Linked DNA regions of Kluyveromyces lactis. The protein of the gene in region 3 interacts with the protein of the main gene of each other region in a biochemical or structural test. Links are inferred from orthologs where the notes say so. Each region holds a gene or a part of one and is shown on either strand. Other genes may lie near its edges.

Region 1 (2,504 bases), on a different chromosome or scaffold from region 3:
GCTTGGTTGATTGCTCCTATTTACAGGTAATGCAACTGGTGTCACTCATGTCATGCTTCCCCTGTTGGGAAAAAAAGAAAGATCTAAAGCTGTCTCTTTTCATATGATGACTGAATTCAGTTTAGTCATTCTCTCTATTCGAAGTCTGAAGATGAAACATTTCTTGTCATTGAAGGAAGAGCGACTCTGATACCATCGATATCCTTATTCATTTTAATGCAACATCCCAATCTACTTGTCTCAGTTAACCCGTAAGCCAAATCCAACATATCATTTTCATCATCGTCAGGTTCTTCTAATGCGTCGTAATAGTCTGGGTCCACAATCACGTGACAGGTCGAACAAGCACAAGAACCACCACAGGCACCCTCCATATCTAGATTATGGCCTTGAGCTATATCCAAGAGAGAGTCCCCTTCTGCCACTTCAAAAGTCTTTTGTGTTCCATCCTTCAATATGAATGTCACATGCAACTCTTCTCCCGGTTTCGGTTTATGTAAATGTCCATGGTATCTCTTCCATGACAAATTTGTACGGGCTAACCATATGTTGTGAGAGATGCTAGGAGAAGTAATGCTTCTGGCTCTTAACTGGTTCAGATGCCCAGCTTGTCTAGTCAATATTCCTCTGATCATTGATTATACAGGAGTTTTTCCAAATAGATATGGATGATTAAAAATAATTCACAAACAACAACGATAAGTGTTACTAAAAGGAAACCAAAGACCCTTTCCGTCTGCTATACCACAATGAGAAAAAAAGCTGTCCTGAACTTTTATCAACTCTGATTCTTAAGTAGCTTTTATTTGGCAAAAAAAGGTTGCTTTATATCTAGTTCTCCCTTCAGTTCACATCGAAATTGGCAAATGCTTATTGTTAATCATTCAATTATTGAATCTCATCGGATTTTTCCCAATTTGTCAGTGTTCATGAAAACGCCGGTATGAAATGAAACCAAAGACAAAAAAAACAGACCGTTTCTGGGCCTGATTCCACCTCGGTCTTCCGCGGATTTGGCGGATGTGGTTCAAAATGATTGTTTGCCCTTATCTAGATACTGGTCTTTACATGACTCAATCAAAGTCACGTGAACAATGTATTTTTCTTTCTTTTTCTTTCTATTCCCTTTATTGAAGCTTCTCCCATGAGTTCAAGTTAATGTTAGGAATCAACGAAAAGCAGGCCTGGTGATTAAGCTGTTATAGCTGGTAACGGGGCCTACTTCAGACGTACATTGGCCTGCAAGTTTACATTCAAACCTTAAATTTCCTTTAGGTTGTGAAATTCGGGAAGAGATAATATAAAAAGGAAGGTTCTGAACCATATTATTTTATCAGGATGTCCTCATTATTGCAGAACTATGAATCTGAATGTCAAGTCGCTATAAACCAGGCGAAGGTTTTGCTTGCTAATGCTAAGAATGATGCCGGTGCTGTTTTAAAAGGTGGAAAATCGGATATACTTTTACAAATTCAACAGTACCATGATGAATCTTTAGAATTAGTGGATCAAATGGAAATAGAGTTGAATAATACAGGGAACTCGTTGGATTCTAAGACAAGGGCATCTTATAAAGCAAAGATCAGAGATTATAAGAGACAGTGTCAGAATGAAATTAAGGATCCTTTAAAGCAATTGGTGCAAGAAAGCGATAGGAATAAGTTACTTGAAGGTCGCCACTTCGATAATGATGAACAAAGGCAACAGCTTTTATCGAACCATGCGCTTTTACAACGTTCTGGTGATAAATTACAGGATGCTACAAGACTGGCATCCGAGACTGAGAACGTTGGTGCACAGATAATGATGGATTTGAGATCTCAAAGAGAAACATTGGAGAATGCAAGACAAACTTTGTTCCATGCTGATTCGTACGTCGACAAGAGTATTCGCACTTTGAAAACCATGACTAGAAGACTCATAGCCAATAAGTTCATTTCTTACGCAATAATAGCGGTTTTGATACTACTTATCTTGTTAGTGATATTCTCCAAATTCAAATAGTAATCGATTTCTCTGCGTCTTTTAGTTCAGTCTCAATGCAAGTTTAAGCAGAATAGCTATAGTAATGAATTTATATAATTTTAATTTTGACCCTTGTGGTATAATTTTATACTCTCATGAGAAGAATACAATTTACCGTGTATAAATGATATCTGATTTTGAATACTTATCTAGTTGTATATAAAATAAGAACGATATAAGAAATAATAATAATAAAAATAATAATGATAATGATAGTAATAGTGATGGAAAAAGGCCGGTCAGAATAGCATAGCGCTGTTCATGGAAGACATTCTAATTCATCTTCATCAGCTGAATTGATAGTGGTATGAGATAGACGCCTCCTTAATTCATTTACTAGACGTGATTCTTCTTCGGCTAACTGGTTCTGTTTCAGTTTCTCGAAGGTCACACCTTCTTCATCGTCTTCTTCGCTACTGATGATGCTTCCGGAGCGCTGAGCAAGTTTTGCAGATTCACGTCTTGTGCTACCAATACAA
Region 2 (3,003 bases), on a different chromosome or scaffold from region 3:
TAACAAAAAATCTACTATCCTCTTTTCGGTCTACGCTTGTTTTAGTGGACAGTGGATCTTTCATCCTCACAGTTTTTTCAATTCTGCAAACTTGACGAGTTTCAAACTCATTTACAATACCAACCAGTTTTCATCTTTAGCAAGTGATTAGAATTTAAAGATTGTATAGGTTGTTAACTACGTTTTATAGTTGTTCATATTCACTCTTATATACCCTCCAGAAACCAAGCAAACACAAAGAAACCAAAATGTATGATACCTAATGCACACCGCGCACAGTTATGGGGCCGAAGAACTCAGTGATCGATATAACAAGTTGAACTATGAACTATGATAGACTAGACGATGAGGATTGAAGAAGACGAAGAAGAAGCAGACTGATACGATACAGGCAGACTGACCTGTTCACTAGGAGATGGAATCAACATAGAAGAAGTGTAGTGACAAATGGGTAACTGGAATTATACCATAAGCACAAGAAACTACAGCTAGATGCAAAATTCCAGTGTGATGATTTATAGTGTCAGCTCCACACGCACGACAGCAGAATAAATGACGATCTATTAGACCTCCTCCCCCAAAAAAACTGTTGTTCCTTTAATTGCAACAATTTTACTAACTTTTATATCTGTGTTATTACCCATTCTACCTGTGGTATCGATTCATTACCACCCATTATGTGAACAAATTGAATCGAACTATTGGAATCGGACGTAATGAATACACAATTCATTTTATATTCAGGGCTAAAAGAACTAAGAAGGTTGGTATCACTGGTAAGTACGGTGTCCGTTACGGTTCCTCTTTGAGAAGACAAGTTAAGAAGTTGGAAGTTCAACAACACGCCACTTATAACTGTTCTTTCTGTGGTAAGACTTGTGTTAAGAGAGGTGCTGCTGGTGTCTGGTCTTGTTCTTCTTGTAACAGAACCATCGCTGGTGGTGCTTACACTTTGTCTACCGCCGCTGCCGCTACCGTCAGATCTACCATCAGAAGATTGAGAGACATGGCTGAAGCTTAAGCTTGTTGCATCGTATAATCATGTTATAAGTATCCTTCAATAAAACGTATCTTTCCACTTTGTGTTATTTTATATTCCATCTACCCTATATAACTGATTTAGGCGTGATGGTCGAGTGTTCATCCTCGCGTCCAGCCAAATACCTTGGACCGGCTCCCAGGCCAGCCTATTTGAAAGTCACGTGAATTAATTACCCGGCTGCTGATAGCCTTCCGTTGTTTCTCCCCTTAAGGAATTTCTTTACTTTCTGATGGTAATTAGAATATGTAACATGTAATGATGATACAATGTTGATAGTTTGATAGTAAAAGTTGTAAGCAAGCTCTTGGTTGACAAAAGTTAACAGCATTCAGCCATATCCCACTCAGGTTTTCTTTGAATATGTCGGATGTTAAAGAAATTATAGCTAAGGTACGTTTTTTCTCCATCATTTATGTTGAAAGGTCAAATCAATAAGTCTAGGAAAGTATGATGACAATGGTTGACCTTATTCTCGCCTGAACCCCTAATACTAACAATAAACATATGCAAACCCTAGCCATAATGTGATGAAAGAGGAAGTGATTTATCATTCGTATTCTCTCTTTTTCACTTAATGGTATGGAAACATATCTCATGTCATTTTTGTAATAGGCCGAAAAGAAGGCTAAACCATCATCAGGATTTTTCAGTTTCCTTAGCGGTTCAGACTCTTACCGTTACGAAGAAGCAGCAGATCTTTATATCGAGGCTGCAAACCTCTATAGGCTAAGAAAGGAGTTGGATCAAGCGGGTGATACTTTCTTGAGGGCAGCAGAGTGTCAAATACAGGCTTCTAATGAAGATGAAGCAGGAAATACGTATATCGAAGCCTACAAGTGTTTCAAGACAGGATCTTCTCCAGCACAAGCTGCTGAGTCCTTAGCCAAGTCGATAGATATTTTCACAAGAAGAGGTCAGTTTAGAAGAGGTGCCAACTTCAAATTCGAATTGGCTGAATTACAAGAACAGCAATTACAGGATTACCCAAGTGCCATTGCCAATTATGAAACAGCTGGTGATTGGTATTTGCAAGACCAAGCTATTGCTCTCTCGAATAAATCCTACATTAAATGCGCCGATTTGAAAGCTTTGAACGGTGATTATTTGGAAGCTACCGAGATCTTAAAGAAAGTCGTTGAAAATTCATTGGGGAATAAATTAAGCCAGTGGTCGCTCAAAGAGTACTTATTGAAGATTGGCCTATGTTACCTTGCTGCTGGTGATGTTGTAGCTGCAGATAAAAGTTTGAACGAATCACAATCGTTGGATCCATCATTCTCTCAATCAAGGGAGTTTGAGTTACTATCAAACGTAATTGAAGCTGTAAGGGAAGGTGATACTGAAAAATTATCGCAAAAGATCTACGAATATGATAGGTTCAATAAGTTAGACCATTGGAAAACAACTATACTCTTGAAGGTGAAAAATACAATCGTCGAGGCGGATGACGATCTACTATAAAATGGTAATATTCAACTCATTCTCTTGTAATTGTATTCTTTTCTCTAACACAACTGTCACTTTTTTGGTGGAATAATTATTTTATAAATGGTGTATACCCATTTGTACAACCACATCGAGTGGTTTGTTTCACGTTAACGTCTTTCATTTCCCATTATCAACTATATCGATGCAAATAAGCTTGCCATCTGGCTTGGACGTTTGGAAATTTTGAAGATGTTAATGGTAACGAAAATGTTTTTTAAGCTTCTGACGAACGGCTCCCTTACCGTTTTGAATAAATATACAATTAAGTAAGAAATGTATCACAATTTTTTACATCTTCTTACGGTAAGAAACAAACCTAATATTTCAGAATGCTGGTACAATTTTTAATGAATATGATGATACTTCCTCAGCAAATCTACTAGATGAGCCTACGCAAAAGGCAGTTGATTGATAATATCACTAGATGAATGAAAACACATCAACTGAGGGGTAACATGATCTCTAAAACGTTC
Region 3 (2,501 bases):
TCATCTTCGCTTTGATATGTCTTCTGCTTGCTCATTGAAGGAGAACTAGCCACATCGTTTAATAATGATTCAATATCGTGGTCCTCTTCCATTGAATCACAATCGATAGGATTAACGCTATCAGCTTTAAAAGGTACAACATCTTTACCTTTAAGTGGGGATGTATCTACCTGAGGGTGTTTATAGTTCATAGGCGTAGTATTTGCAGGTTGTTTTCTGGATATCGTTAGCTTCGGCTTCTTAACCAGAGGCTCTGCGTCAAATTCACTCAAAATATCATCAAATTCAGCAAGTGACACTTTCTTAGGTTTTTCTGTTGGCATTGTCATTTTTCTCTTGACATTTTGTTGCTTTATGATATCGCTGATGGTATCCTTACCTTTGTTATTCTTACTGGTCTTATTACGCTTTTTGCCTGACTTTGCATCAACACCATCGTCTTCATCAGAGTAGAACTCCTGACTTTGATCCCATTCATCTACACCACGATCCACATATCCACTGCCATCATCATCTTCAACAAAATCATCTCTTAACAACTCTTGTCTTTTCTTACTCCTATATTGATCCTCGTCAATCAAGTCATACACATTTTCTTCTTCCAGTTGTTCATCTAGCACATCCCTATTCGATTTATTATTCCTAGCTTTCTGCAATTTTTTGAGCAGTTCAAGTTTGTTCGCATTACTCATCCCGAGCTAGTGTTTTAATAGTGTAGGGTGGCAGTACGAACTACCCTAGTAATTTAGTTTTGTTGTCTTTCCTGGTTTGAGTTGCAAGAAGAAGATGATGAAGATGTTCTTACTTTTACGCGTTCTTTTTTTTTTTAAAGTTGTATCTATCTGCAAAGCACGCGTTCGAAATCTATGAACTTAATGGCACCAACGCTGAGACAAAGCGAGAGTGCATGAGAAGAAAAGCGAGCGAAAGATTGAGTGACAGTAGAATACCGACAACACTTGAGTGGTTAAACGGTGAAGCCGCTGAAGTGTTAGAGAGTGTGCGCTCCTCAATATTATGATACGAATTTCCATTAGTTGAACCAATTGGCGTTGGCTTGGAAAGAAAAATGGATCACATGACCTGTGGTTTAAGACTGTCCTCAATTTTAAAGTGCTCAAATTGAGGTTTGTGATCATTAACTGAAGGGAAGGATAACTGTTAAGGAAACAGCTGATAGCAGGACCCGTAAAGATAATCGCGTTACATCTGATGTCCTTTTATCAAAATAGTACTCCAAAAAAGGAGGACAATCGTGCAGATTCTAGTGGAAACGATGCGGTGCCTTTGTTGATAACACTAGAACAGAATATTCAATTACTCAAGCGTAAAGCTCATCTAATAGGGACAAGCAAGGACGGACAACTATTGAGGGTTGATATAAAAAATAGAGTAATCCCCGAAATCCAGAAAATTAGTCGAAAACTGGCTGACTTAACTTCGCTAGATACACAAGATAAATTTGCTCGAGATTTTCAAGCGTTAAGCAAACAATATAACAGTGTAAAGACCGATTATGAGAATAGGGCAGTACAGAATCCCATACCTGACGAAGAGAGTAAAGATAATGAATCGGAACATCTCGTATCGCAATATGAAAGCATGCCAATACAAGACGATATCGAGAGGAGGGATCATTCTTCAGAGGATACTCCGTTACTTTTGTCTACCCAACAGCAAGAGCCTTTGTTGAATCAGGATGAGTTAGATTTTCACACGATAATTCAACATGAAAGATCCCAGGACATATCAAAAATCCACTCTGCTGTGCAAGAGGTCAATGCCATCTTCAAACAACTAGGAAGTCTGGTACAGGAACAGGGCGAACAAGTTGACACAATTGGCGAAAATGTGACAGGATTATCTAATAATTTGCAAAAGGCGAACAAAGAACTTCACAAAGCAAATGAATATCAAAGGAAAAAGAACAGATGTGGTACAATACTTCTAGTAGCTATTGTTGTTATCACTCTAATAACTCTTATCGCGATTCTATCATAGGGTTAGATTCTACGAGGAATGTAACTATATATTAATACAAAATTTATCTCTGGCCTTATACTTGGATGAAAGTTACGTTACGTTTTAGAGAACACGCATCATCAGGTAAATATGTCCGACTTAGAGGTTACAACTAATTATTAATCATAGCTTACTTGTCAGTATCCTTTTTAGTGCTTTCGGAGGAGTTATTTTTGGATAGTTCATAAGACTCAACATTCTTGAGATCTCCACGTTCAATGACAAGATTTTTGAGAAGTCTGTTTTCCATTTCAAGGGTATTGATTCTTTGCTTCAAGTCACAAGCTAACTGTGAAAGATCTTGGACCCAAGTTTCCATTTCTTTCTCTTTAAGTTTTTTAGTTTGATCCAAGTTCGGCAGTTTGGGTCTTGAAGAAAGGGTTGAGGAAGTGGACGACGATTCTACACCATCACTGGAGGAATTGTTTTTATCAGAATCAGTATTATGCTTTTTTTCGTTTATCTTCTCATCGAGACTC
Region 4 (3,933 bases), about 140 kb from region 3:
AGTTGGACTTCCGATAAGACTATGCTGCTGTTGAGCAAGTTCTGCTTGCCGTATGCATTCGCTTACATGTTCTTGTTGGGCTGCTTCTTCTGATCCGAAAACTTGTAAGTCAAAATTACAAATTGGACATCGATCGTAATCTTCATCAGCAGCATGTATATTCCTGGGACTATTTCTCTCGCTTTCAGTTTCTCGTACATTTTCCACAACGTTTTGGTTCTTCATAAATTCAAAAGGCCTTATGGACGATGATCGGATGGAGTTGATTTCGGAAGTAGATCCCATAGAATTTCCGATTCGTCTTGGTGGTTTCGGTAACTGTATTTCACCCCACGCAGTTCTCAGTAGCTTCATTTGTAATAGATTTTCATAGCAGGAATCACAAGTCCTGTACGGTTCCATTTCATACTCTGCTGGACTTTTCAAAACCACTTTAACCCGGTTTTTATCATACCATGCGAATTTTGAACAACAAGTAGCACAATAAATTCTGCCACAACATCTACAGTGATGACGCCTCACTAGAAAACTAAACTTGATCCCACAACTTAGACACTGCGTCACATTCTCATCCTTTTCCCACTCGCCAAACTCGTTCACAAACTGACTGGAAATATTACCATTCCGCCATCTGTCTCTGTCTCTCCTTGCATTATCCGAAGAACCAGTGACAGTCATCGTTTCACCATCGACGTGCCCTGCCACCAGAGCACCAGTAGTCATGTCAAAAATTCAGCTGATTTTCTATGTAGCAGCCAATAACCTGCTGTGTTCACAGAGTGCTCTACTGTCTTGGACAATTGATTACAGCCACTATTGTGCTTTCATGATCTCATCCTTAAAATGATGTGCTTTCTGTTATAAAACTGATTCTGTTGACAAATTCCTAATGTTAGCAGCATACATTCTGAAAAAAAACCATGAAATCGAGGAAACAATAGGTGAGAAACAATACTTTACCTACAATTAGACAGACAATTGCCTGAAAACAGTACGAGAAGACTAAGTAATATAAGGTATCGTTATCAGATCTTTAAAAGCTAACTATACAGTTGAGTGAATATTATATTCTTTTTCTTCAATTGACAATCCAAGAGTTCACAGAAAGCTATAAGTGTCATTGCGCCCCTTTTGAAATATGGAGAAATTCGGGTTGAGTGGCAAGTTGCCATCTTTTGGAAAGGCCACGCATTCTACAGGGGTACCTGATATGTCTAATGTTAATATGAGTACTAGACAATTGCGTGTCGCTAACTGTCCAAACAACAGTTATGCATTGGCTAATGTGGCAGCTGTCTCACCAAGCGATTTACCAGAGAATATTTACGTTATTATAGACAACTTATTCGTGTTTACCACAAGACACTCTAACGAAACTCAACCTGGTACCATTGGATTTAATGGTAACCAACGTACTTGGGGAGGTTGGTCATTGAATCAAGATGTACAGGTGAAACCGTACGATTTATTCCAACATTCGGGCAAGCATGCGTATCTAGGATCTGTGGATCTGGAAATCAGTTTCAGGTCTAGAGGAAAAGCCGTGGAGACTCCTTTTGATCAAGATGAACTTGCTAAGCAATTTTTAAAGAGTTTTGAATCCCAAATATTCTCACCAACGCAGTACTTGATATTCGAGTTTAAGGGACATATCTTCGATCTAAGAGTAAGATCAACGCAAACTATTGATTTGGGAGATGTAGAAATTGTAGCTCCGGTTTCTACCTCAATTGAAGCTAAGGCAATCTTAATCAAACAAACTCAGATAAACTTTTTCAAAGGAAGAGATGGATTGGTTAATTTGAAATCGTCCAACTCGCTGAGACCAAGATCGGATGCCGTTATTAGACCTGATTTCAAATTTGAAGACTTAGGCGTTGGTGGTTTAGACCGCGAATTTACCAAGATTTTTAGAAGGGCATTCGCTAGCAGAATTTTCCCTCCAGCTGTTATTGAAAAGTTAGGCATCTCCCATGTCAAGGGTCTTCTATTGTTTGGACCCCCAGGTACAGGTAAAACGTTGATTGCCCGTAAAATTGGTACTATGTTAAACGCAAAGGAACCCAAGATCGTGAACGGTCCTGAAATCTTGAGTAAGTACGTTGGATCTTCAGAGGAGAACATCCGGAACCTATTCAAAGACGCGGAAGCTGAATACAAGGCAAAGGGAGAAGAGTCCTCGTTACATATAATCATTTTCGATGAGTTGGATTCTGTTTTCAAACAAAGAGGCTCAAGAGGTGATGGAACTGGCGTCGGTGATAATGTTGTCAACCAATTACTTGCCAAGATGGATGGTGTCGATCAATTGAACAATATCTTAGTTATTGGTATGACCAATCGTAAAGATTTGATTGATAACGCTTTACTACGTCCTGGTAGATTCGAAGTACAAGTTGAAATTCAATTACCGGACGAAGAAGGTAGAGAACAAATCTTCGAAATCCAAACCAAGAAAATGAGAGAAAACAACATGCTCGCACATGATGTTAGCTTGAAAGAACTTGCATCACTCACGAAGAATTTCTCCGGTGCTGAAATTGAGGGTTTGGTGAAGAGTGCTAGTTCTTTTGCAATCAACAAGACTGTAAATATCGGAAAAGGGGCAACCAAACTAAAAACCAAAGACATTGCAAACATGAAGGTGACTAGACAAGATTTCTTGAATGCGTTAGATGAAGTGACTCCTGCGTTTGGTGTTAGTGAAGAAGATTTGAAGACTTGCGTAGAAGGTGGAGTCTTTAGGTTCTCCAACTCCGTAGACGACATTTTGAAAAACGGTGCTAGATACGTCCGTCAAGTGAGAGAGTCAGACAAATCAAGACTAGTATCCTTACTAGTGCATGGTCCTCCAGGTTCAGGAAAAACTGCCTTAGCTGCCGCCATTGCATTGAAGTCTGAGTTCCCATTTGTTAGATTAATTTCCCCTGAAGAAATAGCAGGTATGTCGGAAACGGCCAAGATCGCATACATCGACAATACCTTCAGAGATGCTTACAAATCGCCACTTAACATTCTAGTTATCGATTCGATAGAGACTCTAGTTGACTGGGTTCCAATTGGTCCAAGGTTCTCTAATAATATCCTACAAGTACTCAAGGTCTATTTGAAAAGAAAACCTCCAAATAATCGTCGTTTGCTTATCATCTCTACTACGTCCGCTTACACGGTGCTTAAGCAAATGGATATACTAAGTTGTTTCGACAACGAAATTGCTGTCCCAAACGTATCAAACCTAGATGAACTGAATAACATTATGACAGATTCCGGATTTCTTGACGATGCTGGTAGAGTCGAAGTTATCCGCAAATTATCCCAAGTTACATCTACTCTCAACGTCGGCGTGAAAAAAGTACTCACAAACATTGAAACAGCAAGACACGATGAGGATCCCGTCAATGAACTTGTTGATCTAATGGTGCAATCATCTTGAATTATACTATTCATTTCTAATATGATACATTTATATATATATATATATTATACATATGTGATATGTACTCGCGACATAGCACATAAACTTCAACTTCGTTCTCAATGATATCAACTTTTGATGAAGGTTGAAATTTTTCAGCATGCTTCCGTTGAAGATCAAAGAGAATAAGTGAAAAAAAACTTTTCAGTCTATTTATGTGAAACTTCTTCCTATTGCACCTTGCAAAATAAAGATATATACTTGGATCTAGTCTCTGATTTAGAAAGGGTAGATAACAACCGTTCTCGACCCATCGATTATACTAGCATTTCATCATGGCTCCACCGGCTTTACGTCCTGAGAATGCCATTAGAAGAGCTGACGAATTAGTCTCTGTTGGCGAGCCAATGGCTGCGTTGCAATCTCTATTTGATTTATTATCTTCAAGAAGGTCTCGTTTTGCTGATGCTGCCACTTTGGAACCTATAATCTTCAAGTTCTTGGAACTTGGTGTTGAA

Evidence for each region.
Region 1: the proteins of VAM3 (region 3) and VTI1 form a complex in vitro, tested with the Saccharomyces cerevisiae proteins (6 studies listed by BioGRID). The link is inferred for Kluyveromyces lactis from reciprocal best matches to the Saccharomyces cerevisiae genes VAM3 and VTI1.
Region 2: the proteins of VAM3 (region 3) and SEC17 form a complex in vitro, tested with the Saccharomyces cerevisiae proteins (3 studies listed by BioGRID). The link is inferred for Kluyveromyces lactis from reciprocal best matches to the Saccharomyces cerevisiae genes VAM3 and SEC17.
Region 4: the proteins of VAM3 (region 3) and SEC18 form a complex in vitro, tested with the Saccharomyces cerevisiae proteins (2 studies listed by BioGRID). The link is inferred for Kluyveromyces lactis from reciprocal best matches to the Saccharomyces cerevisiae genes VAM3 and SEC18.

What each region holds. Positions count from the first base shown.
Region 1 is NC_006038.1:899,697-902,200, reverse strand, and holds VTI1 (v-SNARE protein VTI1), read left to right. Parts: upstream 1-1,338; coding exon 1,339-2,004; downstream 2,005-2,504. Other genes in the region: YAH1 (adrenodoxin), read right to left, coding at 135-635; KLLA0_B10263g (uncharacterized protein), read right to left, coding at 2,285-2,504. UniProt on the Saccharomyces cerevisiae protein: t-SNARE found in various SNARE complexes involved in multiple transport pathways. The composition of the t-SNARE complexes is specific for a limited number of v-SNAREs and therefore allows only the vesicles carrying the matching v-SNARE to fuse.
Region 2 is NC_006041.1:529,694-532,696, reverse strand, and holds SEC17 (alpha-soluble NSF attachment protein SEC17), read left to right. Parts: upstream 1-1,402; coding exon 1,403-1,432; intron 1,433-1,654; coding exon 1,655-2,503; downstream 2,504-3,003. Other genes in the region: RPL43B (60S ribosomal protein eL43), read left to right, coding at 249-250, 745-1,021. UniProt on the Saccharomyces cerevisiae protein: SNARE complex protein that binds to cis-SNARE complexes on membranes and is required for vesicular transport between the endoplasmic reticulum and the Golgi apparatus and for homotypic vacuole fusion.
Region 3 is NC_006039.1:1,128,520-1,131,020, reverse strand, and holds VAM3 (SNAP receptor VAM3), read left to right. Parts: upstream 1-1,212; coding exon 1,213-2,001; downstream 2,002-2,501. Other genes in the region: DNA-directed DNA polymerase alpha catalytic subunit POL1, read right to left, coding at 1-692; MET4 (Met4p), read right to left, coding at 2,153-2,501. UniProt on the Saccharomyces cerevisiae protein: Required for vacuolar assembly. Provides the t-SNARE function in a late step of the vacuolar assembly. Required for homotypic vacuole membrane fusion, autophagy and fusion of biosynthetic transport vesicles with the vacuole.
Region 4 is NC_006039.1:1,269,005-1,272,937, reverse strand, and holds SEC18 (AAA family ATPase SEC18), read left to right. Parts: upstream 1-1,138; coding exon 1,139-3,433; downstream 3,434-3,933. Other genes in the region: PIB1 (phosphatidylinositol-3-phosphate-binding ubiquitin-protein ligase), read right to left, coding at 1-723; RPG1 (translation initiation factor eIF3 core subunit a), read left to right, coding at 3,751-3,933. UniProt on the Saccharomyces cerevisiae protein: Required for vesicle-mediated transport. Catalyzes the fusion of transport vesicles within the Golgi cisternae. Is also required for transport from the endoplasmic reticulum to the Golgi stack.